Macaca mulatta: one gene and its partners. The protein of the gene in region 1 interacts with the protein of each later gene in a pairwise test. Links are inferred from orthologs where the notes say so. Each region holds a gene or a part of one and is shown on either strand. Other genes may lie near its edges.

Region 1 (3,510 bases):
TCTGTCCAGAACAAGTCTAGCTAAGATGGCTCCTCCTCCAGGAAGGCTTCCCTGGTTTGGGAAAGAGTGGAGGGCCAGCTCTCTGCTGCCACAGCCCTAAGAGCTTGCCCCAAGTCCCGGCACTGCCTCTCCATTCCTGGCCCTCCATGGCCCTGGCCTTAGGGGACCTGGGGGCCTGAGCTTGGCCACATGGGCATCCTCAGCCTTGATCCAGGGGCAGACTGCTGGGACGTGGGTGGGGGGGGGAAGAGGACTGGCCGGGAGTGGGGACTCCAGGAAGGCCCCTCACCTGGATGCCATGGGGAATGTTGTAAACTATGAGGATGGTCCCGCAGTCCTCGTGGCCAGGGAGCGACATCTGGAACCGTAATACCTCCATCTTTCCCTGGGGCTGGGTCCCCGTCTTCTCTCCATAGATGGTTTTGCAGGAGGGACACTGCAGACTTCCATCCTGAGAGAGGCAGATGCGACCCACTGAGCTGGCTGGCTGAGAGCACCCAAGACCGTCACCTCCACCGTCAGATGGTAAAGGGCCCCGGGAACGGGCCAGCCGCCATCCCAGGGAGTTGCTGGCAGCCTCCCGCCCGGAAACTGGCTTCCAACAGCTTCCCTGGAAAGCTTTGTTTTGCACCAGCAACTCATTATGCCGTTTTCGTTAAAGGAGCATGCTATCAGGAGACAGGTGGTGAGTGGGAAAACTCGGATCCTGAGCAGAAGTCTCCACGGGTGAAGCGCATTTGAAGTCTGACAGACAGCCTTGCAGCGCCTGATCTGTGGAGCTGGGCCCTGGCTGCCCAGGACGGCAGACACTAGGGAAGGCCAAGCCAGGCTCTGACGCGCCACATGACTTGGTTCTCTAAGCCTCCAAACTCTGCCCATCCTGCCTGAAGGCCGCTGCAGAGACAGCAGCCAGGGATCGGCTTGGGCGTGGCTCTTCACGTGTAGGCTGCCGTGGGACCCAGGGTCAGCCCTGCCTCGTGGCCTGGCTCCCACCACCCAGTAGGGCAACCCTGCTCTGCGCCTCTCCCTCATGGGCACTGTGCTGACCACACAGGGTCGCTGTAAGGAAGAAGGGAGACAGCGTGTGCAGCGCTGACAAGTGGCCGAGGGGGAGGCGGTGCCCTGAGGCTTGGAGAAGCCCACAATCTCCTCAGGCCTGGTTGGAGGGGTGGAGGGAACCAGCCCCATTGGTCCCCCTTTCTAAAGCGTGGGGCAGGCCTAGGAGAGTAGGGCAGGCCTGGGAGAGCCGGCCAGGCCTTTAGAAAGGTCTTCAAGCTGGCCCCACGCCCGGCACCATCTTTTGCAGAGGCCCGTCCCCGCAGCCACCCCCAGAACCCTCCCGCCTCTGCAGGTGTGGACAGCTCAGGACTGTGGGGGCAGGCCACCCGCCTCCACCCCGGGCCAGTGGGGGCACCTTGTTGCCATTGCAGTACATGGCCAGCAGGCACAGCAGGTGGAAGGCGTGACTGCACTTGGTGAGGCGGCCCACAGCCAGGGGCCCGATGGCCTTGCTGTCAGTCACGTCGCTGTACCCAGATGCTGCGGACAGCTTCTCCATGCAGATGATGCAGTCCTGGAGGAGACCAAACACAGGTCATGCTCGCCAACAGTGGGCTGGGCTGACGAGGGCCAGTCTTGGAAAAAGAGGCTTTCACGTGCTGAAATGCTGGAAGTGTGGTCAAAGTCAATTCCAAGACCAGGCTCAGTGGCTCAGTGGCTCAGCCCTGTAATTCCAGCACTCTGGGAGGCCGATCACCTGAGGTCAGGAATGTGAGGCCAGCCTGGCCAACATGGGAAAACTCCATGTCTACTAAGAATACAAAAATTAGCCAGGCGTGTTGGTGGGCGCCTATAATCCCAGCTACTCGGGAGGCTGAGGCAAGAAAATTGCTTGAACTCAGGGGGCAGAGGTTGCAGAGCTGAGACTGTGCCACTGCACTCCAGCCTGGGCGACAGAGTAAGACTCCATCTCAGGAAAAAAAAAAAATCGTCCATTCCACAGGCTGGAAAGACAGGTGAGTCACTGGGACCTGTGCCCTTAAAGAGCTTAACAGCAGCACAGGCCTGACATGACAGCAGGAGCCACCAAATGGGGAGGATGGACAGGGCAGGATCCTGGGGGAGGCCCTCGGAGTGGGGTCGTACAAGGGAGACAGGAATTGCCAGATGGACAAGCACGGAGCGGGCACCTGGGAAGAGGGAGGAGGATGTTTTGAACGAGGAGCCAGCACATGGGCACTAAAGCTGGCAGGGGGGGAGCGGGGAGCAGGAGATGAGACAGGATCAGGGAGAGGCGGGCCCTCGGGGTTCTGGCTGCCACACTCAGGGGCTGGGGCTGTGTGCGAGTTGGGGATCCTGCTGGGGGTTCCAGGCAGGGAGTGCTCCCATGATCTGAGCTACGTGCTGGCTGTGCAGACGGCAGCTTGGAGAGGAGGAGCCTGGGGTGAAACGGCCCAGTCATACCAGATGGGCACCAGAGCGGAGACAGAGCTAAGCACTGGGCAGGAGGGAATGCGGCAAGGGCTTGTTGAAGGGGTGGGACGCATGAGGAGGACTTTGAGGCTCCTGTCCAAAGCTTTACTTACCAGATTTTTTTCGTGGACTCAACTGACTGGAGAGAGACATAAGTGAAGAGTCCCTGGGTACTGGGGCTCCTGGCCTTTCACCCGTTCCCCAGTATCTGAAGGTCTCTGGGTACTGGTACTCCTGGCCATTCACCCGCCCCCCAGTATCTGAAGAGTGCCTGGGTACTGGTACTCCTAGCCATTCACCCTACCCCCCCAACAGTATCTCCAGGGTTCCCCACTAAAATCGGGGGAAAGGGGTGCCGCAGCCCCCAAAACGTGGCTCAGCAGAGGTTCAGGTTCTATGGAAGAGCAACAGGAGTCTGACTGGTCCCATTCATTACAGGAGGCCAGGAGGACAGGGCTGCAGTGAGCTGTGATCACACCACTGCACTGAGCCTGGGCGACAGTGCGTGCCCCTGTCTTTAAGAATAAAAAAATTATAGGAACCTTAACCAGCTCTCCCAACAGCTGGAGGGGCAGGGCAGCCACCTGGACGAGGCCACCTCACTTCTACACCAGCATCCGCACGGCGGAGAGTGGGGCAGGCTGGCCCATCCCTTGTCTCCGGGATTCCTGCTCCCAGGACGGCCATCAGGCTACAGAGAGGCCAGGGCCGGGAGAGGAGGGACTTTGCTCAGGACCACAGCTCCTTAAGTGCAAAGCTCAGATCATAACGATATGGGTCTCAGGAGGCTGGGAGATGAAACCAAAGGGGCTGGAGCAAGGTCCTGGCACTCAGAGGCACCTGGGAAGCACCCTTCAAGCGAGAAGGGGCAGATGTCCTTTCTATCTGGAGTTGTCTGCAAACAGAAACAAAGGCAGCCCAGCTCCCAAGACACAAACCTCATCTGGGGGCACTTGCAGCTCTTCCGTGTAGTTTTTTATGACCTGCTCTGGCTGTGGCTCTGGCTTCGGGGTCCCTCCTAGAAGAGAGAAGTACATA
Region 2 (4,037 bases), on another chromosome or scaffold:
CAAGATGCTGGCCCAGTAGTTCCTCAGCGGCAGCTGCCATGCCCATCACAGCCTTGCCAAAGCCCACCAGGTAGACGTTTTGCCTCAGCTGAAAGCTCCGGTCCCGCACCTTCAGCTGTCTGCCACTAGGGTCCAAGGATAGTGCCCGGTGCAGCATGGGGCCCGGCAGCACTGCACCCACAGCACTCTCAAACAGCTGCCAGGCCTGCTCTGCCAAGGCCATGCTGCTGGCCAGCCGGGCCACTGAGCCCCGCCAGAGGAGTGGATGCAAGGGGGCTCGGGCCAAGCGGGGCAGGACCTGCAGGGCTGCAGCCATGCCCCACTGCTCTCAGCACTGCCTGGCACCCATGGCTGCCTAGAGGGAAAAAGCACAACTGAGGCCCTTGCAAGGCAAAAGACAGGAGGTCCCCCACGGCCAGTGGACCCCACAGCTGCTGCTACAAGAAGGAGCCATCTGATAGCCCCAGGAGACTTCCTGAAGCCCACAGCTGCAGGATCTCACTCATCCTTGGATACCAGCCCTGCCACCCAGCCATGTCCTCCTCTTCTGCAGACCACATGCCGGCCCTCTGGATACTCTGCCTTAAGTCCAAAGTTCCTATTAGCTGGGCCCTCCTCCTAGGTCAACCCTTTGGCTGTGAGTTAATCATTGACAGAGGGAGTAATTTCTACCAGTGGGCTCCCATCCCACCCCTTTTCCACCCCCTGCACTTCTGAGCTCTTACCCAGGGGCAACGCCCCTTTCTGGCACTCCTTCCTTGCCTCTTTACTACCTCTGCTGCCAGGAGTCTGTTGATTGTCCCACCAACTGACCCCGAGCCCACTGACCTCCAGCCTACTCTACTTTATCTCATAAGACTGGGATTAGGAGGCTGGGAAGTCAGGGTCTATAGGAGGCTGCAGGTTTATCAGGTCAAGCCCAGAGCATATCCTCAGGGCAAGCAATCTGAGGAATCCCAGTATTCAGGCCAGTTCAGCAAGAGGTTTAGTTTCAAATCAGGAGTGAGGGCAAAGTCTGGCTCATGGTGGAACCTTAGGAAAGTCCCCAGGCACCATGTGAGGCCATGTGCCATGAAGCCCAATTGCAGGACAGAAAAGGATGCCCTTCTACCCACATAGCTGGCCAGACCCAACCCTGCCAAGAACACCCCTTCTAGTTCCAAGATAACAAAAACAAGTCCTAGATCACACCACCCACAGTGGTGAGAGCCCAAGAGCTGAAGTAGGCAAAGGCCAGGCTCCCATAACTGAGCCCAGATAGCCATTTTCCCCACTGGGCAGAGTAAAAGCTAAAGAAGCCTTGGGGTGAAGGTCAGGAAGCTGTAGAGGGGTATAGGAACAACAAAGACCCAAAGAGCTCATCTGTACTACATATGTACTATTGCATCTACTTTAATAAATGCCTACCATAAATGCTGCAAGCTGACTTCATCAGCAAGTATGGACTGAGCGGGGTAAGGAGGCTGGGAATTGAGCTTCCAGCTGTATCTACTACAGGTTTTCTGAGTGGCTGGGACACATCCATTTCTCTCACTGGGCCTCATCCACAAAATGAGACACAAGGTGAGATTAACACTACACTCTCCCCTTAACACCCTCAGGCTCTCTGATACTGTCCACTGCAACACAGATCTCAAATACCGGTTTATCCCACACCCAAATGTGGTGGTTACTTCTAGACTCTGACCATTTTGTCTGCCTAGTCTCAGCTCTCCCGTAAGAGAAGACAGCCATGCTTGACTTCTGTTGTGAAACGGAACACAGAGGGCATCGTCATGGGGATTCCGAAAATGGGTCCAGTTATGGCCAGGGGGACCCCTGGAGCTTGCCCATTAGGCTTGGAGCTAAAAGCATCTTAGCAACTAAGACAGCCGGTCTTTATAGGGTGAAATCTGTATTTATTTCCCAGATGGACAAGAGCCTAGAAGATCCCAGTCTTGCCACTGGGTATGAGCAGAGGACAGGGGACGCTCAATGCCAAGGCTGCCAGAGAAAATACAGGACGTCCTGTTAAATTTGAATTTCAGAAAAACAAGTAATTTTTAAAGTATAAATATGTGCATACAATGTTTAGGACTTAACAATTATTCATCGTTTATCTTAACTCAAATTTAACTGGACACGGCCGGGCGCAGTGGCTCAGGCCTGTAATCCCAGCACTCTGGAAGGCTGAGGCGGGCGCATCACCTAAGGTGTGGAATTACAGACCAGCCTGACCAGCATGGTAAAACCCCGTCTCTACTAAAGATACAAAAATTAGCCAGGTGTGGTGGGCGCCTGTAATCCAGCTACTCAGGAGACTGAGGCACGCGAATCATTTGAACCGGGGAGGCGGAGGTTGCAGTGAGCCGAGATCGCGCCACTGCACTCCAGCCTGGGTGACAGAGTGAGACTCTGTCTCAAAAAAAAAAAATTAACTGGACTCTCTGCATTTTTATTTGCTAAGTCCTCCAATTCTATACAAGACATAGTCTCTCCAAAACTCCGGAGGGATCCAAAGCAAAACACGGAAACAGGAAGACTACCGGCCTTGACTCCTCCCCGCTATTAAAGGGGGCTGGCACCATTTCCGGTTTCCCGCAGTCAGCAGGGGGCTGGAAGTGACGTCATCCTCAGGTAGGGCCTTCGCGAGGCAAACCGCTGCCGCGTAATGCCAGGTGATACGAGAAAGAAGGGCCTGCTGCCACCAAGACCCTTCGTCGCCCAGCCCAGGGATTGCTTCTGAAGGTCATGCGCGCCCTGCAGGCGCAGACTTACCAGCCCACAGCTCCGGGCCACGGCGCCCAGCACTGGAGACCGGAAGTACTCGCGGGTGGGCGGAGCGGAATCCGGAAGTGTGGGTGGGTGGATCCGCGCTGGCGGCTGCGAGCTCTAGCTGAAGCTGGGGTCTGGAAGGGAGAGTTTAGGATATTGACTCCTTGCTGGCCACCAACAGACCTGGAAGGAGTCACCTTAAGTCCTCATTTTCTTAATCTCTACATTGAGGGTAATAATCCCCGCCTCACTGATTGCAGATTTTTTTTTCGAGACGGGGGTCTCACTCTGTCGCCCAGACTGGAGTGCAGAGGCGCGGTCTCGGCCCAGTGCAACCTCCGCCTCCCGGATTCAAGCGATTCTCATGCCTCAGCCTCCTGAATAGCTGGGATTACAGGCATGTGCCACCACGCCGGGCTAATTTTTGTATTTTTTAGTAGAGACCAGCTTTCGCCATGTTGGCCTCTCTGGTCTCGAACGCCTAACCTCAATCGATCCACCCACCTCAGCCTCCCAAAGTGATGGGATTACACACTTGAGCCGCCGCGCCTGGCCTCTCCCTTCCTTTATCTTGTACGATCAGTCAGCAGATACACCCTGAGGACTGGGCTGAGCAAACGAACTGAGAATCACTACTTACCCACAACTAACCCCTTCTGGAGCCAGATTAAGTAATTCTCGCTCCTCTCCATGGTTTTTATTCCACAACTTATTAGTGTTCTCCCCTCTCCCACCATGGGCCACCAAATACAGCTCTGACCTAGCGAGAGTTCCATTCCGCTATCCTCAAGCACATAAGCTGCATGTAAAAGCGAATGACTCAGGACCTTCCTCACTGTCCCTGCTCTCATGCTGGGCCCACCCTGAGCTGGCTGGATGCCTTCCCACATTCATAAGATGAGTCCTCATCAGACTCCAAGAACACGAAACAGTTCACTGTTTTTACTGATGTTTTCTTATGGAGATAGAGGAGAGAGTTGCATCACAAATCACATACTTGATTTCCTAACGATTTTATTGAAACATGTTTCTTGGCAGGGCCCAGTGTTTCACGCCTGTAATACCAACACTTGGGGGGGCCAAGGTGGGCGGATCGCTTGAGCCTAGAAATCCGAGACCAGCCTGAGAACATGGCAAAACTCTTATCTCTACAAAAAAAAAAAAAGAGCCGGGTGTGGTGGCATGCTCTTGTAGTCCCAGCTACTCGGGAGGCTGAGGTGGGAGGATCTCCTGAGCATGGGAGGTAGAGGCTACAGTGAACCTTGATCATGCCACTGCACTCC
Region 3 (4,309 bases), on another chromosome or scaffold:
ACAAAAAATATAAAAATTAGCCAGGCATGGGCCAGGCGCAGTGGCTCATGCCTGTATTCCCAGCACTTTGGGAGGCCAAGGCAGGCGAATCACGAGGTCAGGAGATCGAGACCATCCTGGCTAATACGGTGAAACCCCGTCTCCACTAAAACTACAAAAAATTGGCCGGGCGCGGTGGCTCAAGCCTGTAATCCCAGCACTTTGGGAGGCTGAGACGGGCGGATCGCGAGGTCAGGAGATCGAGACCATCTTGGCTAACACGGTGAAACCCCGTCTCCCAGCTACTTGGGAGGCTGAGGCAGGAGAATGGCATAAACCCGGGAGGCGGAGCGTGCAGTGAGCTGAGAACCGGCCACTGCACTCCAGCCTGGGCGACAGAGCGAGACTCCGTCTCAAAAAAAAAAAAAAAAAAAAAAAAAAAAAAATTAGCCGGGCGTGGTGGTGGGCGCCTGTAGTCCCAGCTACTCAGGAGGCTGAGGCAGGAGAATGGTGTGAACCCAGGAGGCGGGGCTTGCAGTGAGCGGAGATTGTGCCACTGCACTCCAGCCTGGGCGACACAGCAAGACTCCATCTCAAAAGAAAAAAAAAAAAATTAGCCGGGCATGGTGGTGCACACCTGTAGTCCCAGCTACTTGTAGGGCTGAGGCAGGAGGACTGCTTGAGCCAGGGAAGCTGAGGCTGCAGTGAGCTGAGATCATGCCACTGCACTCCAGCCTGGGTGACAGAGTGAGACCCTGTCTCAAAACAAAAATTTAAATGTAAATTTTAAAATGTATGTTGGATCTACCTTTGGGAGTATTCTGGTTTTATATATATATATATATATATCAGCATGTATATAATATTCATTCAACATGTATCCATCTATCCATCTTCATGTTTATATTATATATTAAATATAATATTATATATGATATATATAATATTGAATACAAGTTGAATGAATATTTTGCAAATAGATATTAAAATCAGATTTAGCTTCAACAAGAAAATTTCAGCCTTGAACTAGAATTTTCTGATCTAACCTGTATTACAGCTCCTTCACAAAAGGAAACTGGAACAAAAAGTACTACACTTTCTAACCAGTGGTCATATTATTTTTTTTTAGTTCTGGATTTTAAGAGGTCACATACCCTTCCTTTCACTTCCAGAGTCTCAACTGCTTTTGATCAGAAACTTCTCAAATTCTACAATATACATTTAGATTTAAAAGCAAAGTGAGCCTGGGCAACATAGTGAGACCCCATCCCTACAAAAAATTTAAAAATTAGCCTGGCATGGTAGATGCATCCTTGTAGTCCTCGCGACTCAGCAAGCTGATCAGGAATTCAAGGTTATAGCCAGCTAGGATCGCTCTACTTCACTCAGATCACTGCACTCTGCCTGGGTGACAGAGCTAGACTCCATCTCTTAAAAACAAATTTAAAATATTTAATTTTTTTAAATTAAAAAAATTAGGCTGGGCACAGTGGCTCACGCCTGTAATCCCAGCACTTTGGGAGGCTGAGGTGGGAGAAGTGCTTGTGCCCAGGGGTTTGAGACCAGCCTGGCCAACACAGCAAGACTTCATCTCTACAAAAAAGAAAAATTTTTTAAAGTTTAAAAACTAAAGCAAAGTGATATTATTTAAAATACAGAATTGTAATTCAGGACTAACTAGTTCTACCTATTAACAGAGTACACCAAGCTCACAAAACACAATAATAAACAATAAGGATGATGACCACCATTCTTTCCAAGTAAAGCTGTTGCTGATCTCCTGTTTATAAGGCTCCAAGATGATTTTCAAGCCCAAGAAACACCCTGTATTTGACTCATTCAGCTACAGTTTCACTCAGACCCTAATGGGGAGGAGGGAGTTTTAAGACAAGCAATACCATTCTGAATTCCACCAACAACTCTACCATGCATTACTTGCTCTGTGGTTGTGGCTAAGTCTCTTAGCTTCCCTGTGTACCAGATTTGTTCAAGAGCAGCTAAGTAGGGAAGGAAAACAAAAGCCTCATCTGCCTGAAATCCAAAAATACACCCCAATGCTTTGTTACAAAAGACAAAATAATGTAAGTTGAAATGTTGCTGGTGAATTATCTTTATTAAAACAGAAGTCATCCCACCTCTCAAATACCAGTCATTGTGTCTGATTTCCGAATTCATTACAGGAAGAACTGTGTATGAAGTCATCCAAACACATGCACTCTCCACTTCCCTTAATTGAAAGTTGCTGATTTCCGAGGAGCCAGGGGCTGAGCAGAATGTAAACCTAAAGCCTAAATCAGTAAACAACCCCATCCAAACTGGCCTAAGAGGAAAGCGAGGTGGGTGGGGAGGAAGGTGGATGACAGGAGAAACTCGGCTGACCACTGCGCCAAGTCAACGCACTCACAGCTCTCGAGATGACACACACTCCCCTTCCCACCCTCGGGCTGTTTTGGTCCCAGAACCGTGGGGGCAGAACTCCAGAGAAGCAGCTCAAGCTTCAGCTGGGGCCGGGGACCCTCGGGCAGCCCGGGCCTGACAGACTGGGGGAGGCAAGCCCACCGCCCCCAGGGTGGACAGCCCGAGACAGCCCCAGGTGTGGCCTCGGCCGTAGTCCCAGCCGGGCTCCGCGACCCGACAGTCTCACCCAGGCCTGTCCCGGGGACAGCTCCCGCCCCCCAGCTCGGTACCCCGGCTCACTGGCTTGGCTGATCCGCTGGATGTTGCCGCTGCACGTCTGGATGATGCTGCTGAAGTCCCGGAGCTGGGGCCCTGAGGGCCCCAGGTTCCGGTACATATCTAAGGGACCGTATGACATGATGAGGAGCTGAGACCTGCTCGCCCTACACCACTCTCCTACCGGAAGCAGCCGCCAGCCGGGACCCGCAGGCTGACGGAGAAACTGGGAAGAGCAAGGGCGGGGAAGAAGCTAAGGCTGCGTGCGCACTAGTCCCGCCCCCACGCAGCGCGCACGCGTCCTCCCCGCCCCTGTTCAAAGTGCGCAGGCGCCGCTGGGACTGGGGCTGGGACTGTATCTTAGAGACAGGACTGCCTGGGGCTTGGGGGTTGCGGGGCGGAGAGATGACGTCACCTAGTTGGGGCTGAGATTGGATGAGCTTGGGTGGAGGTGTTGTTTCTCGCCAGGGCACATTGACAAGAGGCAAGAATTTTCGATTTGCATAAAACTGTACCAGATGATCTCAGCCCTTACATCCTATTCTGTTTTGAGAATTCAGGCCCAAATATGGGAGTATTCAACGTTGAAACTCAGACCAGGAACCAAATCGTAACCCGAAATTCCTCTCTACTTCCGTCCCCAGGGTTTTGGTAGTATTTGGGGTTTCCAAACCGCTTTCATTTCTCCCTCCACCCCTCTTCTAATCTAAACAATAAAATAATAATGTTTATTAAGCACATACTATGTGTGAATCCTCACCGCAATTCACTTGTTCATAAGATTTTTCACAGCAAGGGACGATGCTCTGTCTACATTTTTATCATTAGAATAGATAGCGGAGAGTCGGTTTTTTAAATATTGAAGTAAAGTAACTCATCAATGTTAGCATTATTATTTTCCCTATTACCGATGAGAAAATTAAGACCAGCGAGGTTACTTCGCCTTGCTGAAGTTTGACTGCAAAAGCCAAACGCTAAGCTGACTCTCTCCTCACCTTGCTACTTCTCTAAAATTCATTCTCATCGAAATCTCTCCCAAATAGCTCGTTCATCTATATCCCAAACCGGGATTTCTTGGAGAACTAGATTCCTAAAATTTAAAAATCATACCCTTAAATACTTTGGAATGCATGACCTCAATTTTCCTACAGAAGACTGCATTTCTGTAAGCGTATGTTAAAAGGAAAGACATAGGATTTTGGTTTGGGAGGAGATCAAGATGGTGAGAAGTGAAGGGGAACTGGCTGTTTCCTGTGTTCTCCACCCCACCCCAGCCTGCTTTGCAGTCTTTGGAAAATGCAAAGACGGAAAGCTGCTTGCCTGGGTGAAAGGAGACCCCAAGTGAATGAGCCTGTATATGGCCTTAGGGTTTTTTCTTTATTTTATTTTATTTTTTTTGAGACAGGGTTTCGCTCTGTCACACAGGTTGGAGTGCAGTGGCATGATCTCCGCTCACTGCAACCTCCTTCTCCTGGGCTCAAGAGATCCTCCTACCTCAGCCTCCAAGTAGTTGGGACTACAGGCGTGCGCCACCACGCCCAGCTAATTTTTCTATTTTTTGTAGTGATGGGGTTTGGCCATGTTGTCCAGGCTGGTCTCGAACTCCTGGGCTCAAGTGATCACCACCAGCCTTAGGATTTTTTAAGGGTGGCTATCT
Region 4 (4,174 bases), on another chromosome or scaffold:
TTCAGGAGAAAGCAGGAGTGGATGGAGTATGCTTAGAGGCAAGAGAGAGATTTGGGAGCTGGAAGGCACTCGGCCCTGCTCAGGGTTCCTCTGAGCTTTCCGGGCCCTCCGAGGTTAGAACACTGTGGAAAGAAAGAAGAAAAAGAGACCCCACTCCTGCCTCATCCCTGCTGGCCCCGGGGGGAGGGCTGCCTCATCCTCCCTGCTCTTTCCTCTACCCCAGGGCCCCAGCACCGCGTGTCATTCCTTCCTCCATCCTTCACTCACTCACAGAGATTTGCTGGGTAACTACCACACCTCAGGCGGTCTTGTAGGTTATGGAGACGCCTCTGCCCTCTGGGAGGGTGTTCTCCCATGGAAGAGACAAACAGGAGGCAGAAAACATAGGTGACGTTTGTGACGGATGCGAAGGAGAGAAACTAAAGCTGGAAAGGAGGATGGGAGAGGTCTCAAGAGGTGGTGATACGTTGGATGAGGTGGCCCGGGAAGGCCGTGCTGGACTTACCCTCTGGACCACCCCCCAACGCTAACCCACGGGCCTCTGTCCATTCAGGTGGAGCCTGTCACTCCAGCCTTGGCTCAGAGAAACAGCTCCGAGCAGCTCTGACCTGTCACTCCAGCAGCTCTGACCCATCACTCTGCTGAAGTCCCTTCATGGGCGCTGGTGGGCAGGGGCCCAGCTCCTCGGCGAGGGGCCTTTCCGGGCCTGCCCCGTGGGCCCTGCCCTTCTCCCAGGCCCCCTGTGCCCGCATTGGTGCGCAAGCCCATAAGCCGGGGAGCTGTCCCTCGGGCGTGCAGGCCTCCCCGCCTCTCCAGGTTGCCTGGGCCAGAACGCTTCTCCATCCCCCCTCCCTTCCTGACCCTGGGCTTGGAGGTCACCTGCCCCAGGCCGAGAGTAGGTGCCCCCACCGCTACCTGCGGCACCCTGCACAGCCCTGCCCGCCCTGCGAGAGCTGAGGCGCTCCTGTCCCGTGGGCCGCCGTGTCCTCGGCACCCCATGAATCCGTGTGGAATGAATGAATGTCTCCGGGCCGGGACTTGGCCTCATCCACATCCAATCTTCCGGGCCCTCCCGCCGCGGCGGGGGCCGGAGCGCCAGGGCTGGATTCGGGGAGGGGGTGGCTGCCCCTCCCTGGGGCCGCGTTGAGCTGAGGGGACGCCCCTCCGGCGGGCTGGCGGGGCCGGGGTCCCGCTGGCGGAGGCCGCGGCCAGGTGGGTGCGGGGCGGGAGGTGGCGCCGGGCGCTGAGTGGCGGCTCCGGGTCCACCCCTGGCGCGCGGGTGCGGGCGGGAGGCGGGAGGCGGGAGGCGGGGAGCGCAGGGGCGGCGGCTGGCGGGAGGCAGCAGCGAGCATGTGCCGCGGAGCCCAGTAACCAGGGACGACCGCGGCCACACCGCGCCGGCGCCGGCGCCCAGCCCAGGCAGCCCCGCGCCGCGGCGCCCGGACCGCCCGGGCCTGCCCAGCGGCCGCCCCACGCCCCGAGCGCCCCGGCGCCGACAGCCGCGCAGCGCAGCGCGGGCGCCGCAGACAAAGGCGCGGCCCCGGCCCGGCCCGCCCGGCCCAGCCGCTCCCGCTGGGCGCCCCAACCGGGTCCGGCCCGGGGGGGCGGGGGCCGCGGCCGCCGAGGATGGGGAAATCCAACAGCAAGTTGAAGCCCGAAGTTGTGGAGGAGCTGACCAGGAAGACCTACTGTGAGTGCTCCGGGTCCCTGGCCCGTGCCCCGCGCCTCCCGGTCACCCCCACGCCCGCCGCCCCCGCCCCCCGGACCCGCGCGCTACCCGCTCCGCGCCGCCGCCTCCGCTCGGTCCTCCCAGCCCGGCCTCCGCCGTGGGCCTCTCGGAGGCTCCCGGGCCGCGCCCCTGCCCCCCGCCCGGCCCCATTGTTCTGGCACCCCCAGCCCGGGGAGTGCGCGCCGGTCGGCGTGCGCGGCGCCACCCCCAGGTCCGGAGGGGCAACCCCAGCCTCCTGGCGGCCCCCTCTCCGCAGAGCTGTCCCAACAGGCAGGGGCTGTTGTGAGGGCGGGGCGGTGGTCCCGGGAGGGGGCGCCCGGCTGCGCGGAGCCGACTGGCACTAGTGCGCGGGGCTGGTGATTCATGCATCACGATGCCGCCGCCGCTGCTGCTGCGAGATTGGCCTGTCGCCCCCTCCCTGGCCCCGTTCGTGTGTGGGGGGTGGCGAGACTTGGCACAGCGCCTGTCGAGCGGTGACGGCGGCGAAGGGTCCCCGGCACCCTGTGGGTTGCAGCACTTACAGGCTGGATTCTCCCTGGCTCCATCTCTGTCTGCCAGACCGGGAAATGGGTTTCTACAGCCCGGGCGATCTGGGCCGTGTGTGATCATTAGCTGTCGCGGGCTGCCCGGAGGAGGAGGGCCTGTCCTTTCTGGACGTCTCCAGATCAGTCTCAGTGTGTCTCCCTCCACTTGCCCAACTTCACAACTCTGCAGTCCCCTTGCAGCCCCAATTTCTCCATATCAGGCTTCCCCCTTCCCTGCAGCATCTCCGGAGGTGCCCTGGCATACCAGGGGTTAATGGCAATGGGTCCAGACCACCCAGGGGATGCTGAGAGGGAAGGCTTCCGCATCGGGGCCTGGAAGGACCTCTGCCTGGGTGTTTGACTTGGAAGGGGACAGTGGCTCTGGGCTTGGGTTGGAATTCAGAACCCATCCCCGGGCAGCTGCGTGGGCCCAGGCCCTCTGCACCACCCCTGGAGGCAGCAGCTTGACCGCCAGCCCCATGTGTTGATGGAGGCTGGGGAGGCAGCTCCTGGTGGTGCATTGCACAACCTCTGCTCCCCGCTTCCCCCCAACTCCATCGGTCTTCTGGGCACGTTTGCAGGTCTGTCCAAGCCCACGCTTCAGCTCCATGCCCCTCACCCCTCGTGCTTGGAACAAAGGGGGCTTTCCAGAACGGGTGCTAGTCTGCTGCGAGGTGCTGGCCCTTCTCCTGTGGAATGCTGCAGCATGGAGCTCACATCCCAGGAGCTGCTACCTGGAAGGGGTGAAGCCCCTGGGCACAGGGGCTGCTGTCACCCTCTCTCCAAGGTGGGCAGGTGGGTGGCCCATTCCAGTCTGGCTGCTGTTTTGTGATATTCGCTGGGGCCTCCTTCAAGCTAAGTCCAGATGTGGCCCACAGCTGCCAGCAGGTGGACTTCCTGGGTCCCTGTGCCGGGGGAGAGTGAGGACACAGTGGGCGTCATCGGGAGTGGTGGGCATGGGCTGCATGGGATGCCTCCATCGTGGTGGGACAGGGGAGTGAAGCCAGGTTTCCTGCTCATGGAGCATGTCACTTGCCAAGCTCTTGGCATCGTTAGCACCTCGACTCCGCCACAACTGCTCTACCAGGCTGGGTGCTGCTGCGATCTCTATTTACAGATGGGGAAACTAAGGCTCAGAGGGGCAAAGTGGCATTCCCATGATCCCACAGCTAGTGACCAGACAGTGCCAGGACTCAAATTCCGGTCTGTCCTGCTCCAAGGCTAGTGAGAGACCTCAGAGCTCATGCCAAGAGCTCTTCTGGGCCAGGCACAGTGGCTCACGCCTGTAATCCCAGCACTTTGGGAGGCTGAGGCGGGTGGACCAGCCTGAACAACAAGGGGAAACCCCTGACTCTACTAAAAATACACAATTAGCTGGGCATGGTGGCGCATGCCTGTAATCCCAGCTACTCGGGAGGCTGAGGCAGGAGAATCACTTGAACCCGGGAGGCGGAGGTTGTGGTGAGGCGAGATTGCTCCAAGAGGGAACCTCCATCTCCAAAAAAAAAAAAAAAAAAGCTCTTCTGGATGTGTCTTTTTCTGGCTTTTGTTAGAAGCCCATGATGGTGGATTCTAAATGAGAAGGGCCTGGGGTGATCATTCTGTCCGGCCCCCTCCTCTGGGCAGATCTGTCAACTTTGAGAGAAGTTGAGTCAACAAAGCTTTGTTAGGAACTGGCCCTTGTGGTGCTAGGCTGGGCTATTTTTAAAGGCCTTCGGAGACGTGGAACAGTTTTGGGCAGGGAGAGAGTTGGCCTGGGGACTTTTCCTCTGTAGAAGCCCTTATTAGGGGTGGGCTGTTGGAGGTGGCGGTGGGTTCGTTGGCCTCCGGTCTGCCTCCTGCGCTGACGTCAGCTCCCTGGTGCAGGCCCTTGTGTGTGGAGCTCACAGCTGTGTTCTCCCCGTTTGTTGGGCTTTAGTAG
Region 5 (4,059 bases), on another chromosome or scaffold:
TACCCCCCAAACTAGAAGCCCTTGGAGAACAGAGCTCCTGTGTCTTTCTTTCCGTGGTAGGCCCAACACCTGGCTTTGTGCCTGGCACACAGCAGACATTCAACATTTGTAGAACTGATATACTATTAGATTAGTAGTGACAAACACTCCCCAAAGAGAATGCTTATTTGAACACACATCCCAAACACTGCTTCTCTACCCTCCAGAAAATGCTTCTTTGGAAGGATTTAGGGCAGTTTGATGTTTCTGCAAACATATCTGCGTTTAGGGGCCATCTTGCCCTTCTCAGCGTTCACCTGGGATATCTTTATTCTTCCATTTAACCTTTACAGGGGACCACGATGGTGACGTGTCCTTCCTAGGGGCCATTACCTCTCACAGGGATCCTAGTGTCTGGTAGAAAACAACCCCTCCAAGTTCTCTGCATCCGAACTTCACCAGAATACGCGGATAAACCTATTTAAAAAATCTTTTTAAATTCTCAACTTGGCGGTGGAAATAAGGCTCTTGCAACGTCCTCAAGTAATAACCAATGGCAGCTATCATGGCAAGAAGGAGATAGAGCTGAGCGCCTTACTCAAAGCCAAGACATTCACAATTTTTTGGGCCCGGCTCCCTGTGCCTGGGCATGTGCACTGTGCACTCCGAAGCTGTGTACGGCGGTGGCCTTGGAGGTGCCCGTGGCCTTAGGAATTCCCGGGGTCGGGCACCCTCCGCTTCGCACCGCGCCGTGTCCCCGGCCTGGCAGTCGAGCGGCGCGGCTCTGGCATGCTAAGTGGGCAGCACTGGGGCGCCTTTGTTTCTCGCGGCCGTCTCCCAGGACCAGCTTCCTTCTGAATCTAAATGGGCTTCTCCCCCACCCGCTCCGCCCTGGCCCCCTGGCCTGGGCACGGCGCCCCTCGGTGATACGCGCCCGGACACCTGGGGAGTGGGCGTGCGGGGGCAGCCCGGGCTAGGCGAGCGCGGGAGGAGCGCCTGCGATCCCAGCCCGGCCAGGCCCGAGCACCTGCGCGAGCCGGAGGGAGCGCCCGGCCCTCTGTCCCCTCCAGTCGCCAGCGCCCAACTTGGGGGTCCCGCCGCCAGCAGCCCCAAGTCTCGCGGTGCTACCGCTCTGACCCGGGAGCCGCGGGCCGGGCGCCCCCCGCCGCGCGACAAAGGCTGAACCGGGAGGAGGAGGCCGAGGAGGGGGAGGAGGAGGAGAGAAAGGCGGGGACGGTGAGCGGCCGCGGCGGCGGGGAGAGCGCAGGGAGCGCCGCCCGCCCGCGCCGTCCTTTGTGTGGCGGCGGCAGCGCCTGGGCCTGACCGGGTCCCCGGGGCTAAGTGCCCGGCTCCGCGCCGCCCCTCCCGCGCCCCTGCCAGGCGCGCGCCTATCCTCTCCGAGCAAGATGGCAACCCCGGCAGCGGTCAACCCTCCGGGTGAGTAGCGGCCTGGGCCCCGCCGCCCGCCGCAGCCCGCAGGCCTTGCCCGGGGCCGGAGCGGGCCGGAGCGGATCAGGCGCGCCGGGCGCCCCCGGGGGCGCGGAGCAGCAGCTCGGCGCGGTGGGTGGTGGAGCGGCTGTCACTGCGCGGCAGCTGCAGCATCAGCACCAGAGCGGCATCTGCATCCTTATCGCTGCCCATCCGGTCCCGGGCAGGCGCCGGTCCGGACCCGCGGGCGGCCGGACGCTGGCCTTGCGTCCTCCGGAACCCGAAGGGCCGGCCCGGGAGCCCCCGAAGTTCTGAAAATAACCGCCTTTGCCTTCCCCATCCCACGCATTTTTCTCTTCCGGTCCCGGCTTTTGTAGCATCACGGCGTCAGCCAGTCCTGGCTGGTGGAGGGCTCCGCGCTGATGGAGGGAAAAGTTTGGAGCTGGGATTCAACAGGGTACAACTCTTGGGACTCTCCCTTGCCCGCCCCGCCCCCCAAGCGCTGGTCCTTTGCGCCCTTTGCGACTGGCTGCTGTGTGTCCTAACTCTCTGGGACCCAGAACACCCAGCCTGTGGTCACCAGCGTGAAGTAGCCCCTGTCCTGCCCAGGTGACATCCCCTGCTTTCTGGGCTGACCTGTCAGCAGGGTGCAGTCTGTGACAACTGAGCTCATTAGGAAAGATTTCAAAAATGGAAGAGTTCTTGATGGAGTGGCAACATTTACCTGTTTGGGTATTATAGTAGGGAAGTCCCGTTTTCGTTGGGAAAGTTCCCTACCTGATGAGTGTGGGAGAAGAGAAAGGTGAACATCTAAGCTGGTACAAACTTTTGGGTGTTGTGCAGAGGCTGCTGTGGGCACGGCAGGTTGCTAGGTCCCTGTGGAAGATGCAGGGAGAGTCACAGAGGGCGGCCCCCAGGAAATTCCCAAGAGAACGGAGGTCATGTGTTGGAGATAGGGAGGGTCGGAGGAGGAACATTGATGCTTAGCAAAGTAAAGTGTCTGTCATCATAGAATTAGGCATGAAAGATCCCTTTCATCTAAGGAGGCCAGGGAAGCCTTCTGGACGTTTCGGTTGCACGTTGAAAACGGGAATGTTTGAATATACAGAGCCAGTAGCAGAGGGGCATTGCAGGCGTAAATGACAGTGGACTTGTTCTAAGCATGTGCAGAGGTCAGTGAGTGGTTGGTGCACTGGAGATCTAAGAGGCAGCAGTGGGATTTAACACTGAGTTGTTTGGATGTGACCAGGCTTTAAAGGACAGACTGAGGAGTATGGACTTTCTCTCTCCACATTAAGGGAGAGTCCTCTGCACACTTCCTAAGATCCAGAAAAATAAAATAGAAGAGAGAGAGAGAGAGAGAGAGAGAGAGAGAGAGAGACCACAATGGTATTGAACAAGGAAATCGCATGATCACTTTTTCTGGAAGATAAATTTGTCAGCCATGTCTAGGAAACATAGAAAGGAGGGAACAAGACTTGAGACGGAGCCCAGCATGACATGAGGCAGGTGCTGGGGAGGCCAGAATTGGTGGCCATGGCTGGACCAGAGAGGAAGGAATGCACCACTGGGCAGGTAGAGGAGTTCCATATTTGGAACTGATTAGATTTGGAATAAGAGTAAAGGAGGAGGCCAAGGAGAGACAAAGGGGAGGTGTCCATGGAGACACCAAGGTGAAGAGCCTGTGTAATTCCAAGGAAGGCAGTTCCATCAGCAGAAATAGGGACTATGGGAAGAACAGACAAGGAGGCCTCTGTCCAGAACACTGAGAAGGAACATGGCTGGTCTGAAACACATCTGTGCCAGTTTGCCTGCGACTGAAGCTGCAATTTCAACCCATTCAACTACTTCAAAATCAATAGAAAATTGATAGATGTAAATGTTATGAAATCAGAAAAAGCAAAAGAAGTTAAATGAAGATATTTTAGTCCAATATAGGTTTACATTGGGAACAGGAATAAAATCCCTGGTGATTTACATAATTTCTACGTAATCAAATTAATTATTCTAGAATAATTTACATAATTTCTATGACATCGTTATTTAAAACTGTTTTGTCCATTACATTGCTCCATGAGCTACATGGACTAAAGATGGAGTAGTTGCCCCTGGCCCAGTGGTGTGGAGCACAGGAAAGCCTGTGTTTGTGCCTTGGACTGTGGAGGCTTGAATGATACAAGCACAGGGTATTGTTTGTGTTGTTAGTCAACACCTGGCCAGCTTGACAGCTGCTTTTCTCTGTTGACAGCTATACCGGAGATCTTCAGCATGGTGATAATTTCTCAAGTGAAAATTCCTTGAGGTGATCGCCTTTCGTTTTACCATCATTTCTTTTACCGGTCCCCTGAGGATGATCCATGGGGATGTGTTATTCTTGCCCCATGTGAATCTCCATCTTCTTCTTTGGGAGAAAGGGTTTAATTTCAAGGGAGATGGCTCAGGGTTTGAGCCAAAGAGAGAGAGTTCAGATTCTATGGACAATTTACAACAAAAAGAGCCGTGGTACCCGAGCTTGTCACCCAGAGCCTACCTCCCATGGGCTTGTGACACTTCTTTGAATTCCTTTTTCTGCCTCCCTCCTTTCCCCAGATATGGTTGCTTTGCAAAGAATAAGAGCTTGGTAAACAGAATCAAATGGACTAGGAAGCACTA

Evidence for each region.
Region 2: the proteins of DTX2 (region 1) and GLYCTK interact in binary tests that used the Homo sapiens proteins (3 or more experiments, as listed by UniProt). The two-hybrid records come from large-scale screens. The link is inferred for Macaca mulatta from reciprocal best matches to the Homo sapiens genes DTX2 and GLYCTK.
Region 3: the proteins of DTX2 (region 1) and STX12 interact in binary tests that used the Homo sapiens proteins (3 or more experiments, as listed by UniProt). The two-hybrid records come from large-scale screens. The link is inferred for Macaca mulatta from reciprocal best matches to the Homo sapiens genes DTX2 and STX12.
Region 4: the proteins of DTX2 (region 1) and NCS1 interact in binary tests that used the Homo sapiens proteins (3 or more experiments, as listed by UniProt). The two-hybrid records come from large-scale screens. The link is inferred for Macaca mulatta from reciprocal best matches to the Homo sapiens genes DTX2 and NCS1.
Region 5: the proteins of DTX2 (region 1) and ARNT2 interact in binary tests that used the Homo sapiens proteins (3 or more experiments, as listed by UniProt). The link is inferred for Macaca mulatta from reciprocal best matches to the Homo sapiens genes DTX2 and ARNT2.

Annotation. Positions count from the first base shown.
Region 1 is NC_133408.1:49,846,205-49,849,714, forward strand, and holds part of DTX2 (putative E3 ubiquitin-protein ligase DTX2), read right to left. Parts: intron 3,491-3,510; coding exon 3,411-3,490; intron 1,574-3,410; coding exon 1,415-1,573; intron 452-1,414; coding exon 290-451; intron 1-289. UniProt on the Homo sapiens protein: Regulator of Notch signaling, a signaling pathway involved in cell-cell communications that regulates a broad spectrum of cell-fate determinations.
Region 2 is NC_133407.1:115,825,110-115,829,146, reverse strand, and holds the start of GLYCTK (glycerate kinase), read right to left. Parts: upstream 2,809-4,037; 5' UTR 2,526-2,808; intron 1,416-2,525; exon of another isoform or gene 352-1,415; 5' UTR 317-351; coding exon 1-316.
Region 3 is NC_133406.1:213,166,976-213,171,284, forward strand, and holds the start of STX12 (syntaxin-12), read right to left. Parts: upstream 2,809-4,309; 5' UTR 2,795-2,808; coding exon 2,677-2,794; intron 1-2,676. UniProt on the Homo sapiens protein: SNARE promoting fusion of transport vesicles with target membranes. Together with SNARE STX6, promotes movement of vesicles from endosomes to the cell membrane, and may therefore function in the endocytic recycling pathway.
Region 4 is NC_133420.1:17,428,488-17,432,661, reverse strand, and holds the start of NCS1 (neuronal calcium sensor 1), read left to right. Parts: upstream 1-1,366; 5' UTR 1,367-1,626; coding exon 1,627-1,690; intron 1,691-4,174. UniProt on the Homo sapiens protein: Neuronal calcium sensor, regulator of G protein-coupled receptor phosphorylation in a calcium dependent manner. Directly regulates GRK1 (RHOK), but not GRK2 to GRK5. Can substitute for calmodulin. Stimulates PI4KB kinase activity.
Region 5 is NC_133412.1:58,638,386-58,642,444, forward strand, and holds the start of ARNT2 (aryl hydrocarbon receptor nuclear translocator 2), read left to right. Parts: upstream 1-1,251; 5' UTR 1,252-1,385; coding exon 1,386-1,416; intron 1,417-4,059. UniProt on the Homo sapiens protein: Transcription factor that plays a role in the development of the hypothalamo-pituitary axis, postnatal brain growth, and visual and renal function. Specifically recognizes the xenobiotic response element (XRE).